3 linked regions of the Saccharomyces cerevisiae S288C genome follow. The main gene of each other region encodes a partner of the protein of the gene in region 2 in a complex. Each region holds a gene or a part of one and is shown on either strand. Other genes may lie near its edges.

What was found. Proteins that work in one complex are often made in the same cells at the same time.
Region 1: RRP40 (region 2) and SKI6 share a complex: the UniProt entries of both Saccharomyces cerevisiae proteins name them as parts of the RNA exosome complex.
Region 3: RRP40 (region 2) and RRP42 share a complex: the UniProt entries of both Saccharomyces cerevisiae proteins name them as parts of the RNA exosome complex.

Annotation. Positions count from the first base shown.
Region 1 is NC_001139.9:887,061-890,336, reverse strand, and holds SKI6 (exosome non-catalytic core subunit SKI6), read right to left. Parts: upstream 1,456-3,276; coding exon 715-1,455; downstream 1-714. Other genes in the region: FYV8 (Fyv8p), read left to right, coding at 1-604; XKS1 (xylulokinase), read left to right, coding at 2,462-3,276. UniProt on the Saccharomyces cerevisiae protein: Non-catalytic component of the RNA exosome complex which has 3'->5' exoribonuclease activity and participates in a multitude of cellular RNA processing and degradation events.
Region 2 is NC_001147.6:53,539-56,780, forward strand, and holds RRP40 (exosome non-catalytic core subunit RRP40), read left to right. Parts: upstream 1-2,019; coding exon 2,020-2,742; downstream 2,743-3,242. Other genes in the region: NOP8 (Nop8p), read left to right, coding at 1-1,014; lumazine synthase RIB4, read right to left, coding at 1,057-1,566; tRNA methyltransferase PPM2, read left to right, coding at 2,914-3,242. UniProt on the Saccharomyces cerevisiae protein: Non-catalytic component of the RNA exosome complex which has 3'->5' exoribonuclease activity and participates in a multitude of cellular RNA processing and degradation events.
Region 3 is NC_001136.10:262,599-266,023, forward strand, and holds RRP42 (exosome non-catalytic core subunit RRP42), read right to left. Parts: upstream 1,513-3,425; coding exon 715-1,512; downstream 1-714. Other genes in the region: TRM3 (tRNA (guanosine(18)-2'-O)-methyltransferase), read left to right, coding at 1-627; TMA17 (Tma17p), read right to left, coding at 1,914-2,366; YDL109C (putative lipase), read right to left, coding at 2,660-3,425. UniProt on the Saccharomyces cerevisiae protein: Non-catalytic component of the RNA exosome complex which has 3'->5' exoribonuclease activity and participates in a multitude of cellular RNA processing and degradation events.

The DNA.
Region 1 (3,276 bases), on a different chromosome or scaffold from region 2:
TGTTCCCGGTTTGATTGGTAACCAATCGAATTTGCCACCTCTACCGATGGACGCACAGGAACAATTAAATGCAGGAAACGATAATAGTACAACAGATAATGATAATAGTAACAATACTGCCAATGATTTGGCAGCGCGCAGTGCATCTTTCAAAAGTGAAAACAGAACAGTATCTCAAGGCGAAATGACAAGCGTCCATGAACCCAGTACTGAAGAAATGGCGAAATTGGGGCAGCAGAATAACTTACCGAAATTAGATATGAATAAACTACTGAACAGTAAGACTTCGCACGCCGGTAAGATAGAACAGTTGAGAAATTATAAGCGTGAGCTAGATGAATATGATACGGGGATACAAACATGGATAAATTATACGCTAAAATCATCCTCTAATAAGGATAAGGATTTCATAGCTGAGGAGTATAAGCAGCATAGTCACGTTAGGGAAGCATATGCGAACGCGGACGATTTGAGTAAGAAGCATACTGTCATTAACACGGTTGCTAGTGTCAACCAAAATGTAACGCACTTAAGGAGAAAAGTTTTCCAGCATTCTATGAAACCAAAGGATTTATTCGCATCAATAGGTAAGAAAAAACTGTAAGCGTTTTGCTTTACGGTAGAAACACGAAAATGTAAATGCGTTCAATTTTCAATTTTACTGTTTTTTATGTACTTTTATATAAACAGTGGCAATTAATGGCGTTTTTTATTCTACCTAGCAGAGGCGTTACTGACTCTTTTCTGAGCATGTTTCCTCAGTTCTTCATCCATCAAATCTCTTACCCTATGAGCACCTGCGATGCCGATGGCAAGAACGTTCTCTAACCTATCTAACGGAATTTTGTCTTCCACCAATAAAAGAGAAAGTTTTTCTGACTTCCCTACCACACCTAGTGTCACTGTACTCATAGCATTTTCTTCTAATGAATTGGTATCTAATAATGGGGTAGTATCGTACAGCCCGACGGATATACCACTTATGTAATCGAACATTGATATACCGGCATCTATTAAAGCGAGGGTAATACCGTTGATTAAAGATCCCATAATACCGCCATCTTGCTCAAGGACATGGATCTCGATATCGATAACTGTTCTGGGGTAGATATTCAGCATGACATTCTTCTCAAACATCCTCACCAGGGAGGTTTGTATCTCAAGAACACGCCTTTCATTCTTGTGGCTTGATTTACTTCTTTCGAATTTGGAGAATTTTGTAATGTTTACCGATACGTTCAATAAAGCCTTTGAGGTATCCATTTGAGATTTCAATCTTGGCTCTTTTGGACCTTTAACAAGAGTGATAATTTTGTTGTTACCTTGTTCCATGTAGGATGAACCGTCTGCAGCGTGCGGATGTGTGTTGATGGAACTTTCAAAACGGCGGAGTTCATTCCATCGACGTCCATCGAGACGTAGCCCTTCTGGCGAGTATATTTCTAGTCTTGACATATGATGATCCTGCTGTAGTTATGGCACTAAAGTTTTTTTGTAAATCTTTTTATATGTTAATAGATTTTACCAGTGGGACCCTGGAAAGAAAATATGTGTAAATGATGTTTTCTTTTGGATGATGTTCATTGCACAATGGTTCGCAATGTCATTCATTCATCCATTTCTTCTAGCTTTTCAATTATTAATGCCTTAAAATTTTTCAATTTCACCGCGTTACCCGAAGATGTAAATGTACCTACTCAAATAAAAGGTTCCTTGCTGGTTGGCTTTCGTAGCTAAATTGAGTGCACGTTACAAGATTATAAATGCGTTTATATATATATATTCCAGTGAATGATCTACTTTTGCTTAAGCGGCAGAATTGCAAATCTTAATTTTTCTTTTTTGTTTATGTTTTATTTCCTTGTGACAAATAAAATTTTTTTCTCTTCTGAATTTTTAAAACTAAAGAACAAAATATTAAAATAAACAAACAATTCTCCACTTTTTCTTCTTTTGGTATAGAAACTGATAGAAATGTCCTAGACCCTTAATAAGCAAAACACTCATCATTATAACGGGAAAAAATTTGAAGCAAGCTCAAAAGAGATATATATATCATCCAGCATAGACTACTATTAATTTCTATCATAATTGCAATAAAAAAGGAAATATTTAGGGGATCAAGACCATTATTCCATCAGAATGGAAAAAAGTTTAAAAGATCACGGAGATTTTGTTCTTCTGAGCTTCTGCTGTCCTTGAAAACAAATTATTCCGCTGGCCGCCCCAAACAAAAACAACCCCGATTTAATAACATTGTCACAGTATTAGAAATTTTCTTTTTACAAATTACCATTTCCAGCTTACTACTTCCTATAATCCTCAATCTTCAGCAAGCGACGCAGGGAATAGCCGCTGAGGTGCATAACTGTCACTTTTCAATTCGGCCAATGCAATCTCAGGCGGACGAATAAGGGGGCCCTCTCGAGAAAAACAAAAGGAGGATGAGATTAGTACTTTAATGTTGTGTTCAGTAATTCAGAGACAGACAAGAGAGGTTTCCAACACAATGTCTTTAGACTCATACTATCTTGGGTTTGATCTTTCGACCCAACAACTGAAATGTCTCGCCATTAACCAGGACCTAAAAATTGTCCATTCAGAAACAGTGGAATTTGAAAAGGATCTTCCGCATTATCACACAAAGAAGGGTGTCTATATACACGGCGACACTATCGAATGTCCCGTAGCCATGTGGTTAGAGGCTCTAGATCTGGTTCTCTCGAAATATCGCGAGGCTAAATTTCCATTGAACAAAGTTATGGCCGTCTCAGGGTCCTGCCAGCAGCACGGGTCTGTCTACTGGTCCTCCCAAGCCGAATCTCTGTTAGAGCAATTGAATAAGAAACCGGAAAAAGATTTATTGCACTACGTGAGCTCTGTAGCATTTGCAAGGCAAACCGCCCCCAATTGGCAAGACCACAGTACTGCAAAGCAATGTCAAGAGTTTGAAGAGTGCATAGGTGGGCCTGAAAAAATGGCTCAATTAACAGGGTCCAGAGCCCATTTTAGATTTACTGGTCCTCAAATTCTGAAAATTGCACAATTAGAACCAGAAGCTTACGAAAAAACAAAGACCATTTCTTTAGTGTCTAATTTTTTGACTTCTATCTTAGTGGGCCATCTTGTTGAATTAGAGGAGGCAGATGCCTGTGGTATGAACCTTTATGATATACGTGAAAGAAAATTCAGTGATGAGCTACTACATCTAATTGATAGTTCTTCTAAGGATAAAACTATCAGACAAAAATTAATGAGAGCACCCATGAAAAATTT
Region 2 (3,242 bases):
AACATTACATTCAGGATCAATGTCAATGGTTCATTGAAAGTTTACAAATGCTATAAGACTAAATTATGGGGTTATGAAAGGAACAAAGAATTGAATGACCTTGTGTACAAGTTTACAAATAATTTCTGGAAAAACGGATACAACCACATTGTCGATAGATTGGATTACAGTCGTGCTGTTAAAACTGTTCGATTCAAAAATGGGCTGAAACAGTTAACAGTGTCAAAAGATGAAAACGTTTGCAGTGGAGAGATGGACAGCGATGAGAATATGTCAGAAGAGGAGAAGGAGAAAAATAATGTTATTCTTAATGACCTATTAAAGGACTTTGACTTCGATAAGCCAATGACGTTGAATGATTCGGACGAGGAACTTCTGACAGAGCAACGTAAAGGAGAGGAAGAAGAAGAAGAAGAAGAAGAAAAAGAAGTAAACGCTCCCGAATACGAGAATGTTAATAAGACGAAGGACCAGAGCACCCTACCACAAGAAAAACCAGAGGAAAGGAAAGAACAGGACGAGGGCGACGGGCAGGAGGATAATGAATTTATTCCGACTTTCACCAAGGAAATTGGTCAAGGTACAATAAGCAACACTGAGACGTTAAGAAACCTATTCAACCCCAACGAGGCAGAACCTGTATCACAATTCAAATTGATTGAAGATTCTGATAATGATATTGATCATGCGAAAGATGTTGATGTGAACCAACTGGAGGAAGAAGTAAGTAAATCATCTGACACCCTAGGTTTGACATCGGCTCCCGTACCACATGTATCTAGAGATAAAGATAACAAAAATTTCTTGTTTTTCCCTCATTTGCAATCGCCATTTTTAGTAGGACAAACACAGTTGAGTAAAGTAAGGGCTCCTGGAAGAGAAACAATGCTATCGAACTGGGATGAGGAGTTCTGGGCTAACAGAGGTAATTGGACCCGTGATATGAGGCGCAAAATGAAAGATGCATTGAAGCACCGTAAGAGGAAACAATCAAAGAGCGGGCTTCTTCTATAGTGAGTATATATACATATATAGTATAGATTTCTCTGCGCTTATTCAAAAAGCATTTTTACCGAACTTAACAGCCATTTCCACTGCTGCAGCACCCCAATCTTCACCATGGTTGTGCATGGAGTGCGCTTCATCGATGCCAGCTCTGGCCAGGGCTTGTTCTTCAGTCATGCAAGTTAAGAGGCCAAAAATGACGGGCATGTCGACTTTTTCTTGTAAGTTCATCAATGCGTGAGTGGTGGAATCTGAAATGTATTCAAAGTGCATTGTACTACCTTTGATAAGTACACCAATAGGAATTACAACATCTAGCGGCTTTCCCAACTTCGCTTGTCTGTCAACAAACCTTTTTGTCCCCCAAGGTAATTCATAGGATCCAGGAACAGTTTCAATTATTATGTTATTTTCCTCGACACCAAGGGAAGCCATTCTTTCAATAGCACCTTTCACAAGAGCGTCAATAATGACACGGTTCCAACGGGCATGAATGATACCGACCCTGATTTTGGAACCGTCATAAACTTGATCTGGTTTGCCTAATCCTTTAACTGCCATACTGCGTTATACTGCGTTATACTGCGTTATACTGCGTTATACTGTTCCTTTTCATGCTTTTGAACCCACTCTCTGGGGCAATATTTCATTGTTCTCTTTTATATGGCTACTTTTCTCTTATTAACGGGGACCTCCGAAAATATCTCCGCTCCCAGAATATGTCATAGAGCCTTAAGAATTGACCTACGGGAACCTCCGAAAACCTCCCAGAGTTTTAATTATACGTCATAGAACCCCAGACCTCTTCGATGAAGTTTCGTGGAAACTAGTTCCATCCACCTCACTTAAAGTTACCTTAATGAAAGCCATCATTGTTTACTAGTAAGGGTAGTGGTGTGACCCGGACCTGATCGGCTGAAATTTTTTGGTTTAGAGAAGCATATTAAACCAACAGCACAAACGGATGCTTCAGCAGCTCATCTCCAGCATTTCGACTAACCAAGAGCATACAAGATGTCTACGTTCATATTCCCTGGTGATAGCTTTCCTGTAGACCCTACTACACCTGTTAAACTGGGCCCTGGCATATATTGTGACCCCAATACTCAAGAAATACGACCTGTTAATACAGGTGTTTTGCATGTTTCCGCTAAGGGTAAGAGTGGTGTTCAGACCGCATATATAGACTATTCTAGTAAGAGATACATTCCATCTGTAAACGATTTTGTAATCGGTGTCATTATAGGGACATTTTCAGATAGCTATAAGGTTTCGTTGCAAAATTTCTCCTCCAGTGTTTCACTATCGTATATGGCTTTTCCCAATGCTTCAAAGAAAAACAGGCCAACTTTGCAAGTGGGAGATCTAGTGTATGCGAGAGTTTGTACCGCAGAAAAGGAACTAGAAGCCGAAATAGAATGTTTTGACTCAACTACAGGACGCGATGCTGGTTTCGGGATATTGGAAGATGGTATGATCATTGACGTGAATTTGAATTTCGCACGCCAGTTGCTTTTCAATAATGACTTCCCGTTATTAAAAGTGTTGGCTGCACATACCAAGTTTGAAGTCGCCATTGGTCTCAATGGGAAGATCTGGGTTAAGTGCGAGGAATTATCTAACACTTTAGCTTGTTATAGAACCATAATGGAGTGTTGTCAAAAAAACGACACGGCAGCGTTCAAGGATATAGCAAAAAGACAGTTTAAAGAAATACTTACGGTCAAGGAGGAGTAGACTACCATGTATAATTAAAATATATAAACACATAGATATCATCAATATTTCACGTCCTTTTTTAATGTCCTTTGAAAAAGCGAAGGAAAAAAAGTTTCATCTCATCTCATCTCATCACATCTAACATATGGCCATAAAATTTCGACAACTATAGTGCACATATCTAATACGATGAAGAATCTGACCACTATAAAGCAAACGAACAAGAATGTCAAACAAGAAAGACGTAAAAAGTACGCTGATTTGGCGATTCAAGGCACAAATAACTCCTCAATTGCTTCTAAAAGATCGGTAGAGTTATTGTATTTGCCAAAACTGAGTTCGGCTAATAATTTCCAAATGGATAAGAATAATAAACTGTTGGAATATTTTAAATTCTTTGTTCCTAAGAAAATTAAAAGATCTCCCTGTATTAACAGAGGTTATTGGTTGAGGTTATTTGCCATCAGGTCAAGATTGAACTCCATCATTGAACAAACGCCACAGGATAAAAAGATAGT
Region 3 (3,425 bases), on a different chromosome or scaffold from region 2:
GGTACCGATGAAAGGTCCTTATGGCTTGATAAAAGAGACACCAATACGGAATCTGTTAACAACGCGAACATCTCCTGTGACACTTCTCCACTGCAAACAAAAAGTGGAGCTTGGGAAACCGTTCTGGATCTGGACAATAAAAAATCGAATGATGTCGTTACACGTTCTGAATTGATTGTGGTATCTTCATTAGTTGATAAGCCGCCAAACCTGGGAGGTATTTGTAGGTTATGTGATGTTTTAGGTGTGGGACTGCTTACTGTACAAGACATCAAAGTCAAAAACCATCCTCAATTTAAAAATGTTGCTGTGACTGCTGATAGATGGATGCCCATGGAGGAAGTTGCCCTAGATGAGATTGCAAGTTTCATGAAAGAGAAAAAGAAGGAAGGGTACACATTAATTGGGCTAGAGCAAACGGATAAATCAGTGAAGCTAGACAACAATTTCCAATTCCCTAAAAAATCATTGATCTTGCTAGGAACCGAAGCATTCGGTATTCCGGGGACTTTGTTAAGCGAATTGGATTTATGTTTAGAGATTCAACAATTTGGTGTGATCAGATCAATGAATATTCAAACGGCAACCGCAGTTATCGTTCATTCCTATACAGTTCAACACATGTAAGAATCAGGTTTCATTCCCACTTTTGTTAACCATGAAGTTTTTAGTATGTAAACTAATTTGTCTTTTTATCTAATTGTGACTATATTTTTATAAATTCTCCAGTGATCGTACTACGTCGGGGGCGTATTTCTCCACCATTGCAAGACCTTGCTTCAACAAATGAGGTTTAAAGCTTTTAACGTTTGAATCATTCAATGCTACTGATCTGATAGGTGATGTAATCTTACCATTAGACCAGGAAATGATTAGGCCATTATTGGCCACTTCGCTTTCGTTGGCTGCAGGGTCCAATAGCATATTGTTGCCTACAACGGCCAATATAAACACTAAAGGCGGATTAATGTCAAGCTTAACCATGTCGTAATCATGAAACGTAGGAAGTTCTTCCACCTCTAAGTCGTCAAAAGCTGAAATAAGTTTCGGTAGGTATGTGGAGTTCAACGCTGAATAAATAGCAAAGGATATTAAAGAAACTGGGTGTGAATGTGATGAAATGACCAGAACATCGACAAATATTTTGAAGCTGTACTTTTTTGTCAATTGCAACTTTGAGGAATCTACTCCGCTACCAGACTTCAAAACCTTGTTCAGTAAAGAAGTGATTGTCTCTACTACCAGCGCGTCATCTCTTTGGCCTGCGATATCTACATCGACCTGAAGTAGTTCATTCTCCACATGATGATCCACAACTTTGGACTTAATGCTCACGATACATTCACTTCCATCACTAGCTATAATTCTGGACGATCCATTGGAACTTGGTAGGAAGTCAGTAAATATTTCTATAGGTCTGAATTGATGAGGTAGTCTTCCATCGGGCCTAATTGAAGGCGTGCTTGCTAGTGAATCGTATAGGTACGACTTTTCGGCGACCGAAAGAGACATAAATGATTATTTCAACAGAATCTCAAACTGTCGTTGTGCTAGTCAAAAAGAATGCCTTTTGCCGTCTACAGACTATTAGTATCATTGTACTCCTTCACCATATAAGCTCTACGTTTCTTTTTTCTGAATATTAGAAAAAAATTTCGCCAACTAGGGTTCAAAATAATAGACTAGGGCACGGAAGAAAAGCACACCCTAGGGCTTTCGGAGATAAATTATTAATAGCGAGTTTTTTTTGTATTTACTTATTTTATTATTTCTTTAAGATATCTAGTAGTAAGGATAGAACGGGTAGATAGAATAGACAAATGGAGTTATTGAAATATTTATACGAAGAGATAGAACAGAGAGACAAAGAGTATGACGTGAAAATGATGCGCAGTAAAACTAAATCCCGTCTCTTAAATGAATATGCTGTTTGGTGTCACGACGTCCACATTTGAATTGTCCATGTCAACGTCAGGGCCCTTGTTGGTGTTGTCCTTTGCCTCTACCTCGTGCTTACTCTTGCCATGGCCCGTCTTTCTATATACCGTTTCTTGCTCCAATGCGTCCACTCTCTCATTGTAATTGTTTAGCACAATTTCGTTCTCCCTGACAGAGTCCTTGTACAGCGCCAGGTCTCCCGAATCAATGTTCTCCAAGTCGTCGCTGTCGTCAGCTTCAAGACGGTCGTCAGCACCCTCCAACTTAGCTATGTATTTACCCAAGCGGGCGTTAGACCTCTGCAAATGATTGATACTGTTCTCAATTTCTGTTTTAATCTGTGCCAACTCCATGTCGGACATGCCGCTTATCGCCGTCTTAAATTCTTCGATCTGGATTGGTCTTCTGATACCGCCTGCTGAGCACATTATGTTACTTGTAGTAGTTATTATGTTTTGATTTGCTTTATGTTTTATAAAGATCTTACCCCTCTTTTTGTCAAGAGAAATAAGCTTCTGAAGTATTGTTTTCCTGGTGAAAAGTGTCTTATTTATATGGAGAAGGGATATTCGGCCTCGGTTTTAGGGGAGGAGCTGAAGAGTTGTCCCGCTCGAAAAAGACCCGTAAGCGCATTTATCGAACTACGAAGTAAAATGGACTTTCGTAGGTGTGGACAATAGTAAATTGCAAGTCAATCCCGGGATGACGTCAAGATAGACAGTCAATCTGTCACAGAGGAATGCTTGCTAATCCAGGAGCTGGCGAGCTGGCTAGCTGTGGAGACTATTCCACCATGGTACACACTAGGATCCTCGATCTTGGTGAGCCATGAGTAGAACTTGTTTGGTTCCACCCCTCCGGTTGCCATGTTTATATCTTCCTCAGCAAACTGTTTATCTTGCATTGGTGAGGCGATTGGGTCATCTCTTTGGAAATGGGCGGTAACAAGGTGGTCAACCACCGGCCAGCCGTAAGCGTTGGAAAACCTTCTTCTTACGATGATGTTATTGTGGGCATCTGGTTTCAGCAATACCACGACTTTCCTCCAATGCATCCCCTTGTGCCAGCGGCGTGCTATGATTTCCTCCATCTCTTTTCTCGTCTTCCTCGTTTCGCCTTCCTTGGCTGCTGTTCCTTCATAAAGTGTTGGTGATGGAGGCGGTAAATTCTTTTCTGTGTAGATCTTATCATGTATGATTGTTGCGACCCTTGCATCGGGATCTGAGAAGAACTTTGCGTCGGGGCATGGTGATAGAAGCACAGACTTCATAGATTTGATGACGGAAGCATTCATCAAGCGTTTAGATTTCTTGTCGCAGTTATTTTCCTTGCTCTTCCAAAACGTGTTCCATGACGATGCATTGATTCCATCATCATCATTAGCAACATCGCTATGATTTGGAAGTTCCCCAATAGGACTTACTTCAGGCTGGAAGAGAGGATCACAAGGTGCCGTAGTTTGACCTCCCAGTTTCTGAAGTAATTGA